Linked DNA regions of Tamandua tetradactyla. The protein of the gene in region 2 purifies or fractionates together with the protein of the main gene of each other region. This does not show direct contact. Links are inferred from orthologs where the notes say so. Each region holds a gene or a part of one and is shown on either strand. Other genes may lie near its edges.

Evidence for each region.
Region 1: the proteins of PPP6R1 (region 2) and ANKRD44 purify together in Homo sapiens (co-immunoprecipitation; 5 studies listed by BioGRID and IntAct, counting the BioPlex papers as one, with this or other methods). This does not show direct contact. The link is inferred for Tamandua tetradactyla from reciprocal best matches to the Homo sapiens genes PPP6R1 and ANKRD44.

What each region holds. Positions count from the first base shown.
Region 1 is NC_135329.1:171,505,640-171,512,964, forward strand, and holds the start of ANKRD44 (serine/threonine-protein phosphatase 6 regulatory ankyrin repeat subunit B), read right to left. Parts: upstream 3,115-7,325; 5' UTR 2,892-3,114; coding exon 2,865-2,891; intron 1-2,864. UniProt on the Homo sapiens protein: Putative regulatory subunit of protein phosphatase 6 (PP6) that may be involved in the recognition of phosphoprotein substrates.
Region 2 is NC_135342.1:4,459,225-4,467,064, reverse strand, and holds the start of PPP6R1 (serine/threonine-protein phosphatase 6 regulatory subunit 1), read right to left. Parts: upstream 3,037-7,840; 5' UTR 2,656-3,036; coding exon 2,596-2,655; intron 2,397-2,595; exon of another isoform or gene 2,248-2,396; intron 1,912-2,247; exon of another isoform or gene 1,836-1,911; coding exon of another isoform or gene 1,830-1,835; intron 1-1,829. Other genes in the region: HSPBP1 (hsp70-binding protein 1), read right to left, coding at 7,257-7,331. UniProt on the Homo sapiens protein: Regulatory subunit of protein phosphatase 6 (PP6). May function as a scaffolding PP6 subunit. Involved in the PP6-mediated dephosphorylation of NFKBIE opposing its degradation in response to TNF-alpha.

The DNA.
Region 1 (7,325 bases), on a different chromosome or scaffold from region 2:
CCACACTTGCCTCTCCCTTTCCTCTTTCTTTTTAACCTCCCAAAATAGTTAGGAAAAGGCATTTTCCCTTTCCTTGCATGACTGATAGGTGATTGCAGAATTGACTATTAAACTAGTGATTGCCATTACCAGAAAAGCTCCTGCACCTAACTTCAGCAGAACAGGAAATGTCATCATCTTTCACCCTTTACTTTGGGTATGCTTAAAGACAAACGAAGACAACTTGGGATTCAAGTAATCAACAGCAAGAATATGTCATGTCCTCAAGCCAAAAATCCAAGAGCCTGGGTAAAAATCAAGATTCACCTCATTAAACAAATGAGGGAGTAGTTAAAAACAATTATTTTACAAATAGCTAAACGGGTAGCTGGGCACTCCCTCCACAAACTAAGGCAGGAATTCCAAGCAGGCTGCTCTCTACCCACAATGATGGAGCAAGACTCTTCTGGCAGAAGTTTAAGAAAGACTTTAAGCCTCCACTGAGGTTAAGAACCAGCTTCTAAGAATTTAGAATTCAAACTGAAAAAGTAAGACTATATAAGGCAAGAAAGACCACACACCTCCTGGACCTAAAACCACACAGAAACCACTGATACTCAACCTCGATCCCACCCCATCCACCCCACCCTCCCCACCCAATCCCCTCTGGCTTTGCCCTAGAGAAGGTGGCAATGTTCAGATGCTCTAGAATCCTAGAACTTCTTAGGGATATTTCTATGCATCAAGAGGTGAAATGAAACCAAGTTCGTGCAACTTTCTCTCCAGGATAATCTAGTTTGTGGAGGGATATATTCAGAAACATTTTTAAACATCTTTGAAAATCCTATTCTGTTAAGTCCTGAAAACTAACTACCTTTCCTTCTATGCTTTGTTTTTTTGCTTGTTTGTTTGTTTTGCATGGGCAGGCACCAGAAATCGAACCTGGGTCTCTGGCTTGGCACGCGAGAACTCTGCTGCTGAGACACCGTGGCCTGCCCCCTTTCCTTCTAAAATTATTGTAATATAACTTTCATCAGTTGCAATCTTGATTTGGGAGAGGATGCCTTTTTGCAAAGCTTTCAACAAGCGAAAGAGAAGACAGAAGGTGTCTTACAATCGCCCAAAGCACAAAAGCCTGGAAGCCAATAGACAGGACCTGGTCCCGGCTCTACAGGCCAACTGCCCTGGTCCTTGAAGAAAACCGGAGTCACCTCTCCAGATCTCCGTTCCCGCATCTGGGCCAGCACAGCTGTAGGAGGACTTACACCTCCGAGATTCTATGAGAAATTCTTTCACACACATGAGAATAACAACAATGCCTATTAGAAGCATTTTTTTTACTTCGAAGATTTAGATAGTGACAGATAAGTACAGCAATGGGTATAAGCAAAGATGACAGAACCAAGTCAGACTAAAACTGGAAGATTTAAAACAAGCAAACAGCTAACAGTTGGCGAAGTACATGACCAAAAGGTAGGGGAAATCCTGATATCAACTTACACTTTTAAATGCTTTGGAACCAATGGCAATTACCAGCTGCTTCGCCTGCTAAATTTAACGATAACATAGGGTTTAATCCAGTGACTCCCCACGACCCCCTACAACAGCCTGTAAATACTTAGGGAAACCAAACTGAAAATTTGAATCTAAAAGGCAGAGAAACAAATCATTGCAAAACATTGGGGTAAATCCATTTAAGTAGCAAGATGCTGTCTGGATACTAACCACATGCCACCCACTAGGGAAGTTTGAGAGGTCTGATGATACCAGGAGCTTGAACGTTGCACCGCATGTGTCAAAGACAAGACTGCCTCTCCGCCTACCAGGACCCCAAAACAGTGTTCATTTCCCTATGCGTGAATAAATGGTGGTCGGGAGGGAAATAAGCAAGCTTTTTTTTTCTTTCCTCGTGGAATAATTACAAAATCTTGTCATGCAACTTGAACGCCTCTGTCAATTTCCTAATAGTAACAGAGTTCACAAAGGTGTGGTGCTTCCATACCACAGACTTGCCCAAAAGAGAAGGGCCCAGGTTGAGCAAACCCCACCTTTCCAAGCCGGGACTCCAGAGCTGCCCTGTGTTTCAGCGAGGAAAGCAACAAAGCTGATGAACACTGATAGAGGGTAGATCATCGCCTGCCAGTGTAGTCCCTGACCGGACTTCACCTTCTCCTCTTCCCGGAGAGACCGGCCAGAGCCAAGAGCACGGTCTCCGAGGGTCCCCATCGCGTACACACGCAAGCACCCGCAGCCTCTGGGTGGCTAAAGAGGAAGTCAGGATGTCATGTCAAACGAATAAAGACAGCCTGGCTACACAAGAGACGCGGTCTGGGTCAGTCCCTGCTTGGCTCGGGAGGCGTCCCAGGCTGTGGTCCTTGCTGCCTCTCCCTCTACCTTCCTCCGTCCGGATGCGCGGACGAGCCTCCCCTCGACAGGCACCGGCTGGCGGGACCCACGCTGCAGAGCACAGCTGGAGCCCTAGTAGCACCTCCAGCCACCCCTCCCTCTCCCCCCCCCCCCCAGCCGAGGCCCGCTTACAGTACCCCCCCCCCTCCCCAAGCACACACTCCGCGCACCCCCTGCACTCCGCACACCCACGCCCTGGCTCTGTCCACCCGCCGAGCTCCTTCCCCGGCCCCGGAGCGCGCGGCCGGCAGCGATCCCAGCGCGCAGTTCCGACCGCCCAGGGTGGGGAGCGGCGCAGGGGTGCAGAGCCGCCGCCGCCGCAGGGTTTCGGAGACAGCCCGCGGGCCGCACGCACTCCTCCCCTCAGCCGGGAGTAAACAGCTCGCGGGAGCGCTCCCCGCCGCGCCCCCATCCCCCAGCCAGGGCTCCGCGCCGCCCCGCGCCCGCGCGTCCCGCCCGCCGGCGCCGCCGCCCCCTACCTGGTCGGTGAGTTTGAGCACTGCCATTCTTCCGCTCCTTCGCGCACACACACATACAGGTCCCCGGTCCCGAGATGTCAAGCCTGGAGCCGGGGAAGCGGAAGGGACTGCCAGGGGAAGGGAAACAAATCTGGCTCCCGAATTTGACAGCCCTCCCCCTGCTCCTCCTCCGCCGCCGCCTCCTCCCGCCGAGAGGCTGACACTGGCTAGTGGTGTTTGCAGCGGAGCCCGCCCGTCTTTATACAGAAAGTACCGGGCCGCCACTGACATCACCGCGCGCCGGCTCGCTCGCGGCCGCGCCGGCTGAGCCGACGCTGCCTCCTGCTGCCCGCAGCCGCGCCTCGCAGCCCCGCGGTCCCCGGCGGTCCCAGGCAGTCGCCGGCGCCTGCACCCCGCGCTCCGCGGGGGGGCCGAGATGCCTCTGCTTTCCGCACTCACACACTGCGCCCCGGAGCCCGGCCAGGGCCCTGGGGTCTCCCTCGTGGTCCCCCGCGGACCAGGGTGCTCACGGTTAGAGGTCCCCCCCCCACGGCGACCTGGGACTGATCTGGGGTCCATTCTCGTCCGGTCAGACACACACAGGCACCACCTGAGGGACAAGCCCATGTGGACACACCAGGAGACAAAAAGGCTGTCACTCACACGTCACCAAATTTAACTTAGGCCTCTCCGGAATCAGGTTGTCCGAGAGCACTCCAAATTATCCACCTCGGTCAGGTCCCCAAGTCTGATGCTCTCTTTATTTGATGGTCGTGGTCTCTGGACGCGTAATTTTTTAATGAGAAAGTCAGCTGTGCCGTATTTCTCAAACATTGGGGGGGGGGGGGGCGGTGCAGAGAAGCTCTGGCAATTTACCTTGTTCTCCAGCCATCTTTCAGGTAGGCACCGCACATGCACACACACCCCTGTTAAGTTCAAACACCCTGGGTTTGTTTTGCGGGGAGTCAAGGTGGAATGAAGTTACTGAAGAAGCACAGGAGGTATAAATTATGGAGTCTTTAGGGTGTTTCCACCAGTCCTGACTGAAGCATTTCCACAAAATCCAAAATTACCATCCTCTTCAACCTATAGAAGACTTAGTTGTCAAGCAGCACCAGATACAAATTCAATGACGATATTTATCATCATAGTAAGTGTTGATACTTCTGGAATTTGAAGCAAACATTTATCAAACAGCTATATAAACTTTGCACCGAATGCCTACCTTGGGCCAAGTACCTTGGTGGGCACAAAAAGAAACAGGAACATAAATAGACAAGACACCTAGTGTCTTGGGTGCCCAACATAAGCCACATGGTTACATTAATAAATGTAATTACAAAGTGAGATAAGGGATCACAGGGAGGAAAAATATTTCTGAAGGAACCCTTTCAAGTGAATCTGACCAGACTGGTGGGAGAGGGCAGATTTCCCTAAGAAAGTGACAGGACTTGAGATCTCTGGGAAGAGAAGGTGTTAAGTACTCAAGGTGGGATTCTGCTCACAGGCCGCCCCATGTGCCTCTGACAGCTCATCACAGGGCAAGCCTACAGAGCAGCACTGACCCACTGAACAGACCTAAGAGTTCCTGGGTCAAGACTGTGCATCTACCATTTATTCAAAGACCAAGTGTGTATTCTGCCCTTTAGGTTTCTTCTTCCCTGCTTTCTGAGCCTCCCCCCAAATTCCATGTGAGAAAGGGAAAAAGGGACTGGGAACATTCACTTTGTATCCTCCCATTTATCATCTAGCCACTCAGATTGGTAAAGCAGATAAGTCACAAATATACTCTTACTAGTCTGATGAGATGTGATTGAGACCATGAAGACCAGGGGAACTGAGGAAGCACTCTCCTGGCTTCCCCTCTCCTGTCATCAATGATGAAATGATGGGCAGATTTCTGAGCTATTCCTTGATCTTTGTAACAGTAAAGAAATTGAGGTATGGGGCTTAAAACCTGACTTGAGCCAACAAAAATGAAAAGTCATCTTTCTCATCTATTTTTCATACCTATGCCAGTCCATGGACACAGAGCCCCTTAATAGAAGGGGACACTGGTCCACTTGAAGAAGGTCTTTCCAGCATTGGCATTGTTGCCAGACAAAGGAGGTGGATTCTTTTGCCTAAAACCCTCAATGACCAAGTCCTGAGACACTGGAGTTTCAAAGAGAGAAAAAGTTTAGTACTAGGTGCGTAGCAGGACAGCAGATGGCCTGTTGGCCCAAAACTGTCTCTCCAAACTGCAGTAATTATGATAGTTTTCTAGAATCAAAAGATGGGCAGGGTTTAGGGTAATGTACATAGTCACCCTAGCTGATGCAATTAGAGGTGATCTAATTATTGAGTACGTGCAGATTGATTACATGCCTGGTCACAGAATATATGTAAGAAAACGGCGGCCTTAATATGATAATGGCCATGATTTTTAATATCATAATGAGGTATAGGTGACTTGTAAGTTAAAATCTAAGTTACTGCACATTGTCAGGGGGCCCACTTTGGTTACATCCAGTCTCAGTTATCAAGATAACTTTGGGGTTGGGGTGGGTTAGTTCTGGACTGACCCAAGACCCTTCATTAATAAACCTTAGGGGTATAGTGATTACAAGACTCTAAAGTTGAAAAACTGGATAAATGGATACAAATAAAGGTTAGTCACAAGGTTTGTACAATCACAGGGAAAGAAGATAAAGGCTATACAATCATTACCAGATCAAGGCAGCTAGTTTACAATTCAGAGATTTCAGGTATTTCCCTCTGTCTACTCTAGTATACCAGAAAGCAAAAAGGAATATCTATATAATGACTTAGTAATCAAAATCATCCCTTAAATCCTATTGTCTTGGTTACAGCAGTGCCATAAATATATATTATAAGTCATCATCAAACCTTCCCTAAAGGGACCTGATACAATTTACTAGAGTGACTGTGTCCTGGGGAAAAGAAATACCCAGGTATTTCAGGGACTACTAGACACTGGTACTTACTACATGATCATTCCTGAGGATCCAAGTGTCACTGGATCCACCAATCAAAGTGGAGACTTATGGTGGTATGGTGGTTTGAAGTTGTATGTATCCCAGGAAAACATGTTCTCAAATTTAATCCATTCCTGTGGGTGTGAAACCATTGTAAGTAGGACCTTTTGATGAGGTATACTTAAGGTATGACCCACCTCAATCAGTATGGGTCTTAATGCTATTACTGGAGTCCTCATAAATGGAATGAAATTCAGAAGAAGGGAAAGCTACAGGAAGCAAAAGCTGAAACGGAACCCAGAAGAGAAGGAAGAGACCAGGGAACAATGCTATGTGCCTTGCCACGTGACAAGCTAAGAACCCCAGAATCAGTGGCAGTCAGCCCCAGAAAGTCAGTCTTCTGGGAGAAAACACCACCTTATGATGCCTTGATTTGACATTTTCCCAGCCTCAAAACCATGAGCAAATAATTCTCATTGTTTAACATGACCCATTTCATGGTATTACTTAAGGAGTCTAGGAAACTAAAACAGGCTGTCAGGTGATCAGTGGAGTTTTCAACCAAGACAAATTCACAGAGGATCCAGTCAGTCCACAGAGCCACCCTGCAATTATTTCCTTACTTCTTGACTATACAGTTAGAATAGATATAATAACTGGCAGAATCCCTATATTACTTCTCTGACCCTTAGCGTGAAGACTATGGCAGTATTATAGGCTGAGTAGAAGCCTCTGGAATTTCCTTTTTCTACAGGAGCAGAAAATCAAAAGCAATAGCACATCTCAGGAAGGATGTAAAGAGCAGTATGACCATAAATGTTGTGGAAAATGCAGGGCTGGTGATACTATCACATCCCCATTTAGCTCACAGTTTGAGCTATGCTAAAGGCAGACGGATCTTAAAGAGTAACTATGAATTATTGTAAATTTATCAGATGGTAACCCCAACTGCAACTGCTATTCTATGTGTACTATCTTTACTGCAGCAAATATACACAGCCCTAAGTAACTGGTATGTATCTATTTATGTAGCAAATGCTTTTTTATCTTTTCCAATTTGTACCACAAGCCATTTTCTTTCATATGACAATGCCAACAGTACACATTCACAGTCTTGCCTATGGGATGTAAACTCTCTTTGCCATAATCTAGTCTGCAGAAATCTTGACCACTATATTAAAGACAGCTTCCTGATTAAGTTCTATTAGTAATGAATTGGAAATAGTTAAATTCCTTAACAAGATACATGTGAGCCAGAAGATAGGCTATAAACCCCAAGAAAATTCACCACCTTCAGTAAAGTTTCTGGAAGTCCAGGGCTGGAAGATGTCAGGAAATCCCCTTCAAGATGAAAGACAAATTGCTGTGCTTTGTGCCAACTACCATGGAAAAAGAGACATGATACATATTGGACCTCTTTGGATTTGAAAAGCTGTATATATCACATATGCGTGTCTTACTCTGACCCATTTACTGAGCAAACTATAAGGCCAGAATTTTTATT
Region 2 (7,840 bases):
CTGTGATGATAAAAAAATATTTAAGCCCTCCTCTACACACTGGAGCAGCTAGAAGGAAAAAGGATCGTATAGCAGCCCATGACAAACTCTGCAATCTGTCCTGTAACTATTTGTTGAAGAGTGCTTTGAAAACTTATTGCTTTTTTCTTTCTTTTGCTTTATATATATTTTATACTATACAATCTAAAAAGTGAAAAAAAAAATGAAGGAGGAATTAAGACATTCCCAGATAAACAAAAGCTGAGGGACTTCATCAATACTAGACAGGGGAATTCTACTGGGGGAAAAGACACTAGACAACTGACTGAAGTCATAGGAAGAAATAAAAATCTCCTGTGAGGGTAACGAGGTAAGTAACTAGAAACACCAATACTGTTCTATTTTTTATTTGTAACTCCACTTTTAACTTCCTACAGGATCTAAAAGCCAAATGCCTAAAGTTTAATAAATCAATGGTTTTGATCTCAATGTATAAATAAGTAATTTGTGACAAAATGACATAAAGGTGGGGGAATGGAGGGGTATAGGAACATAGTCTGTGTACACTATTGAAGCTAAACTGGTGTCAATGCAAACAGGATAGTTACAGGTTTACGATGTTAAATTTAAGCCCACGATAACCACACTGAAAACATCAGAGAATATGCAAACTCATAGAGACAAAAAGTAGAGTACAATTTACCAGGGGAGGGTGAAGAGGCAATGGGGAGTTAACGGAAAATGAGTGTAGGGTTTCTGTTTGAGGCGAAAAGGAAGGTCCAGTTATGGATGGAGGGGAAGGTACTGCAACATTGTGAAGGTGACTATTCACACTCTACAGTGTGCTGGGATGGGAGGATCTACGGTATCTATGTGTGTTATATATATCCACAATTAAGAAAAAGAGAAAGTTAAACCAAAGAGATAATGACAATTAAATGCAATACATGATTCTGGATGGGATCTAAGAACAGAGGAGAAAAAGGATCAAAAGGACACTGAGATGTAAGGACAAAAAAAGGAATACAGAACGTAAGCTCTATAGCAGTTTTACGTTTCTTGAATGGGATAACTGCGCTTATGGTGGTTACATAAGTGAACATCCTTGTTCTTAGGAAATGCGCATGACAGTTTTATGTATCCAAGGAGCAGGCGGGCAATCCTGATCTCAACTATCCAGAGAATAGATACATAATCGAGAGAGAGATAACAGAATGATATGGCAAAGGTGGCCAAATGTTAAAATTGGTAGATCTGGGTATCTGGAGGGTGGGGGGGTATGCTGGAGTTCCTGTATAGCGTTTGTATTATTTTTGCAATTGTTCTGTAAATTTGAAATTATTTCAAAATAAAGTTAAGATACATTTAAAAATAAAATGTTTTAGGTGGTAGTGAAAAAAGAAAGACAAAAGCAAATCAAAATACACAAGAATTCACACATCCACACAGCCACTCACTGGAAGCAACAGGACAGTCCAGCCCGAACCAAGCACCATCCAAACAGCCTTCAGGGTCTCTGCACCTGAGCCCCAGGGACGTTTGGGCTGAGTGCTCCTTTGCTGGGGGGTCATCCTGTGCGTTGCAGGACGGGAGCAGCATTCCCGGTTTCTACCCACCAGCGCCAACAGCGCCCTCATGCGGCAAACAAACGTCTCCAGGTATGGCCAGGTGTCCCCAGAGGAGTAGAGCGACCCCAGCTGAGAACAGATGCCATAGGTGATGCCAAGGCAAATGTAATAACCTAACAACTCCGGATTCCTTTCACTTACTGGGCCCTGCATTCTGCCCAGGGCATCCACAAACATGGAACTGATCCACAGAACAACCCTGAGAGGAGGGCCCTCCGTTACCGCCATTCTCCAGATGACAGCTCCTGAGTAACTTGTCCAAGGTCTCACCACCAGACAGCAGAGCTGGGACTCAAACCTAGGTCTGATGAAAAAACATCTCGCTCTAAACCAATGGCCTTCACTGCCTCCCAAAGGTGCCATAAAACACCCAAAATCGAGTCACATGGCCTCATTTAACAGACACAAAATGATGCACATTAGGAAAAAATTAAAAAACAAAAAAACAGAGCATAACTTTTTTAAAATGCAACCAATTCCCACTGCCATTCCCCTCAGTGTCTGTCTCTGGGTGTGGTGGCCTCTGAGACCTGGGTACAGTATTCTACAGAATATGGATGTAAACCACACAGGCTGGATTTTCCAGGCAACTGTGAGTCACTGCAATGTTCACCCTGTGTGCTGGTGATCTGAACCTTACCTGGAGTTGGACAAACTCCCCGCGGAGTCTTCACAGCTCTGAACCCACTATACCACATCTGAAAGCATCTTCCTTTCCAGAAACATCTTGCTTTTTGGGCCAGTGTCAGGGCAACGACTGTGTCCTCAGTGCAGATGTTCAGTGCGTGTCTGTGTGTAAATGCATGTGTGTATGTATGTGCACGTGTCTGTGTGTATATGTATCTACACACACGTATGTGTGTAAAAGAGCTAGCCAGAAACACCCCTACACAGAAAGTCCCACTCAAGGCTCCAGCTTTGACCACTCCCTCCCAACACGTCTGCACTCCAGTGGAGCCGCCCAGTGCTGAACCCCCAACTTGCCCACCTTCACATATCTGCACACGCTGTTCCTTCCACCAGGAATGCCCTTCCTCCCACTCTCCATCTGTCAACTCCAACTCATCCTTCCTAGATAGAGAGAGCCACCGGCCCCGCCAGTCTCCCGGTCCCCAATCTTCTCAGCCTCCTGCGGCACCCTGAGTTACCTCTATCTCAATACCTCATAGCAATTGTGACTGTCCAGCTCTGCCTGTATCTCCCCAGGGACACAGCCCCCTCCAGGGCAGGGCTGGGCAGGATACCTCCCTCTGTGCCCAGCATGAAGCACCTGCCCTGCCCTCGGCAGGCCTCGTCTCACAGACTTGGAACCAGGACTTGGACACCTCCAGACAATCCCAGGTCCTAAACCTCTCCTCCCAAGGAGAAGCCAGAGGCAGCCAGGGGCAGCGGACCCACAGGAAGGGAGAAGGGAAACCCCCGTTCCCCTATCTCCCCAACCCAAGGGTCAGGCAGAGGGCAAACGAGTCCAAGAAGGCAGGAAACAGGGAAGGGTGGGGGTAAGGCAGAGATGGGGGGCAGGAGGAAGAGATGAGGGGGGAAGGGGGAAGAGGGGACTGAGAAGAAAAACACCGTAATAACAGATGAAGGTGCAAAACGGAGGGACTCTTGGGGGGAAGGGGAGGAGCGAGGAGAAAGAGACTGCCGGGGTAAAGCCAAAGGTGGAAGAGAGTGGCGGGTAGGCCGAGGCTACTCTCTAGACTTGGGGGGGGAAGTGATGAGGAGGCGTCCAGGGGAAGAGGGAAGGATTCCAGGGAACAAAGGTGGGGGTGGACCCGAAAGGGAGAAGACTGGGACCCGCGAAGGGTACTTAGGTGGGGCTCGAGGGGGTCCTGGGGGTGGACTGGGCTCTGGAAAAAGGTCCCGGGCTGGGCCGGCTCACCTGCGTGGGGGGGCGGCGGCTCCTCGCACTCGGGGCTCATCGGGGCGCCCCCCTCGCCCCGCCGCCGGCGGCTCCGGCCCCCGCTCAGGGGCCCGGTATGTGGGGGCGGGGGGCGACGTCGGGGTCTCGCGCAGGCACCCTCGGGTCAAAGGGGGACCCCGCGCGCCGAGCGCCGCAGAGTTGCGGGCTGAGCGCAGGCGAGGGGGAAGGACGCGGGGGTCGAGGGCGCGGGGCGGGGGGTTGGCCGGGCCGCGAGGACCCGCGCAGGGGCCTCGGCGGGGCGCGGGGGAAGTCGCCCCAGTCGCTCCGGTCTCCCCGGCCCAGGCCGGCGCCCCGCGGAAACGAAGAGGGCGGGCGGGGAAAACGTCGCCCTCCGGAGTCCCTACAAGCCGCAGAGCCGAGCAGCGGCCAGCGGAAGCCCAGGCCCGCTTCCTTCAGCCGCCCCTTCCCCAAACCGACGGGTCCCGGGAGCCTACTGTCCGCCTCAGGCCTCCGACGCCCGACGCCACGATCCCACAATCCCCTGCGCCGGAGCGCGCAGGACGCCCCGCCTGCCCGCGGCCCTCTCGGTGCGCAGGTGCGGCGGGGCAGCGCGGGCGGATCCTGCAGCCCGCGTGCGCGCGAGGCCCCGGCTCCCCTACCCCGCCCACCCGGAACACCGTCGCGACTGCCTGCGCTTCCTTAAGCCGGGGCTTTGGATCTGCGCCTGCGCCTGCGCCGGCTCGTGCCAACTGTCTCTCCCCAAGTCAACCCAGACGGAGGAATGCGCAGGCGCCGCTGCCCTTCCGGGAGCCAGTTCTACGACTTCATTCCGAAATCCAGTGGAAACCCTGTTCCGGGTTTTCTCTTCCCTCCGGCTCCATTGGGAAGCCCCTTCACCTTTCTCGGTCTTCTGCCGGGAAATCCACTCCGGGTGTTCCCTCATGGCCTCCACCCGCCGCCGCCGCGCCTCGGTCCAGGCGGTGCCTGGCTGTTGCCCGCTGCTGCAAAGACTTCTGGAGCAACATCGACTGCGCGGGCCTCCTAGGCTTAGGGTCAGTGTCCTTTAAGGTCCTGTCTGGCTCCGAGCCTCAGTTTCCCCAGTTGTAATAGAGACAATTAGCCCCGTCCTGCCCACTTAGCAGCTCACTGTAAGCATCAAATGAATAAATGCACTTAAGGACTTAACCCTTTTCTATAAATCTGCATTTTGGGGACATTTTTTGTATTTTATGCATTTTAGTTATTGATTCAGTTTTTCGTTTTTTTTTCAAGAATGCCGGTTATGCATTTGTATTTCACACGCGTTAGCTGGTAATTGCTTTAATCTTTGTCATTTTCATCTGCCTTCACTGTCACTACTATGTCAGTCCTTTGTTTTGCTTTTTTTTAAAGTGGTTTAAAATAACATTTATTATCTTACGTTCTGGAGCTCAGAAGTCCACCATGGGTCTCCAGTGACTCGAGGTGACCGCAGGGCGCATTCCCTACTTGAGGCTTTGGGGGAGAATCCACCTCCTGGCCTTCTCCGGGTTCCAAAAGCCACCTGCATTCCTTGGGTTGAAGCCCCACCCCCATCTTCAAAATCAGAGATGTTGGGCTCAGTTCTTCTCACATTGCCACCTCTCTGGTTCTGTCATTTGACTTTCCAGCCATGTCCCCTTTGGTCCTTGCTATTTCTGGTATGTTTATCACACATGATGTTGTTTTCTCCTTGTATTAGTTAGCTAACGCTGCATGACAACCACAACCTTGGTGGTATTTATTACATTCACAGATGGGACCAAAGGGCTGTCCAAGGTTCCTTTTCAGGAGAGGCAGGAGCCCAAGAGATCAAGCCCAGCTGGAAGCACATTTCACATCTCCCTTTGCCTCACATCTGCCACCATCACTGATCAAAGCAAATCACCTGGCCAAGCCCAAGAAGTATGGGCTGGTGGGCTCCACGTGCCATAGGCAGGGAATGTACTTTTCCCACGAAGGTGGGAGGGGAGGGGGTGAATCTCTGGTGAAAAATCTAACTTACCAGAACTTTAGTTTACTTCCTTGGGTTTGCCATTGTTCCTTTTTTCATCTTTTTTTAAAAATATTTTAAAGGCCTTGTTTCAATAGACCCATGTTCTGATTGCTACACTCTTGAAGCAATTGTGAAGAAATTCCTTCTGTCCTTTGAATCATTTTTTCTTTTGTGTTGCACTCTTCTGTCTTTTACCTATCATTTTCCTTGCTTTTTTCCCTACATATGATTACACAGTTGCCACAGTTTTAACACCCAGGCTCAGGCCATATTCAACCACCAAACAGATGCTGAGGCACCGAGTCTGCCCAACCCAGGAAGCTCCAGGGGCTTTACTGTCTGAAATCTGGGTCTCAGCTCCTGTCAGAACTCACAGGAAGATGTTATTTGCCTAAGAATTGGAGGGAACTTTTAAAACAACAAAAGAGCCCAGGGCTCGGTGTGGGGGACCCCCCACCAGTGGCTCTCTCCTGGCATGTCTCTGCCCCCCTCCCCCCCAGGCTGGGGTCAGCCCTCCAACTTCCTGTCCTCTTGGAGACAGGCTGGCCCCAGAACTCCTGTCCCCTGGCCTCCACTCTGCCACCCATGGGAAGGCTGCTGCTTGCCCAGGGCTGCCTGAGGCAGAAGTGCTGGTCTAATGCTGGTGCAGAGTAGAAGCAACACTCCTCAGCTATGATGTAAATGGCTCAAAAATAAACGAGATGACATTGGATCTCCAACTCTCTGTTCCCACAGCTGCCTCGATTTGTTCTGAATTTGAGAATGGAAGAGAACTGAAATTAACTAAGCCCTCTAAAATCCCAAAAGTATGAGGCAAGTGCTGTATATGCAAAAGTAATGACCTGGCATCAGATGGGGCCAGGAAGCGAGGGCACTGGGGAGGAGCAGGGCTTTGGGATGAGTCCTAGGTTGGAATCCTGGATGCAAGATTCTCGGACTCTGCTTCCTGCAGCAGGGCCCTTAGTTGCATCAACAGAAACCTACTTTAGGCAAACAGAAAAGGCAGACAGACCCCCAGATCTCAGAGCAGGTGGAGTTGGGCTTGGCACTTTGCAGCTGGGACACGCAGCAGCCTTGCCTCCACGGGGGGCCTGGGCAGGGACTCGACTGCCCGCCCCTCCACCCTGCCTCAAGGGCCGTGGACTCTGGACAAGCGTCCTTTCCAGGCAGCAGCTGCCGGCGGCAGACCTGTACAGGAGGCTCTGATGCTGGGGGAAAAAACACCTGACCTTAGGAGGCCTGGAAGCCGAAGGTGGGAATTCCCGAAACATAAGAGAATTCAGAGAAGTTGGGGGGCAGGGAGAAGGTTAGATGTGCCTGCACCCCATCCCAGAGAGGCTGGAAAGGTGAAGTGAGGCAATGGCTCTGTGGGTGGTAGGAGTAAGAGTTTTATTACCCCAAGCTCCCGAGGCGGCCTTCCTCCCCTCCCTCCCCAGTCTCTCAGGCCCCGGCCCGCACCTCGCCCCTCCACCACTACGCACCCAGAGGAGGTGACAAAGTGGCAGTGGGAGAGGAGCCCCGTCTCTGCTGGAAGAGCAGTGTGGACAAGAGGCTCGGGGTGGGGGGGATGAGCCTGAAAGCAGGAGGTGGGGCCCCTGGAGCCCGGTCCTTTCTCAGCACCCCTCCAGGGGGCTGAGCAGAGACAGGCTGACAGCCCCAGGCTCAGCCCCCTCCCCCCCATAAGGGCCCTGCTCTCTCTTGGGAGAGGGCCCCGGGATGGGGAGGGAAGCAGGAGGCCTGGGCTCCCATGTGGAAGGGGGCCACCACGTTTTCACCGATCCATGCTGTCGTCCGTTGGGGTTGAAAAACAGACCTGTAGCAGCTTTTCACAGAATTCCAGCTCCTCCTGGATCAGGGGTGAGAGCAGAAGGCTCTGAGTGCAGAGGCCAGACCCTGCCTGCAGCAAGCTCTACACCCACAGGCGTCTCCCCTCCCAGCCACCAGCCCGCCCACACTCCCCACCCCACCCGGCCCCTCTGGTGTGTGATCCTCAGCTCACAGTTTCTCCCTCGCCTCCCTCTGGGCTGCTGAACTCACCTGGGAGGTCTTCCAGTCTCCTGTCCCCTCACCCCACATCAGCCCCCTTGGCTCCTTCTAACTCCTAGATATGACCCCATCACTCCCTGCTCAAAGCCCTCCCGTGGCTGATAACAGGACCCAGAAAGCAAGGAAACACCTAAAAGCATCTGCATGGCAAAAAGATGCCACAACACAGGTTACGATTAACACTACAGATATAAATAAGATTTCATGAAGTAGTACAATTGTACAACACATTTAACCCATTACTTACAAGGAGTTAATAAGAGAGTGGTATAAGGGAAAAAAACACCTCCTGCAAACTATGGACTAGAG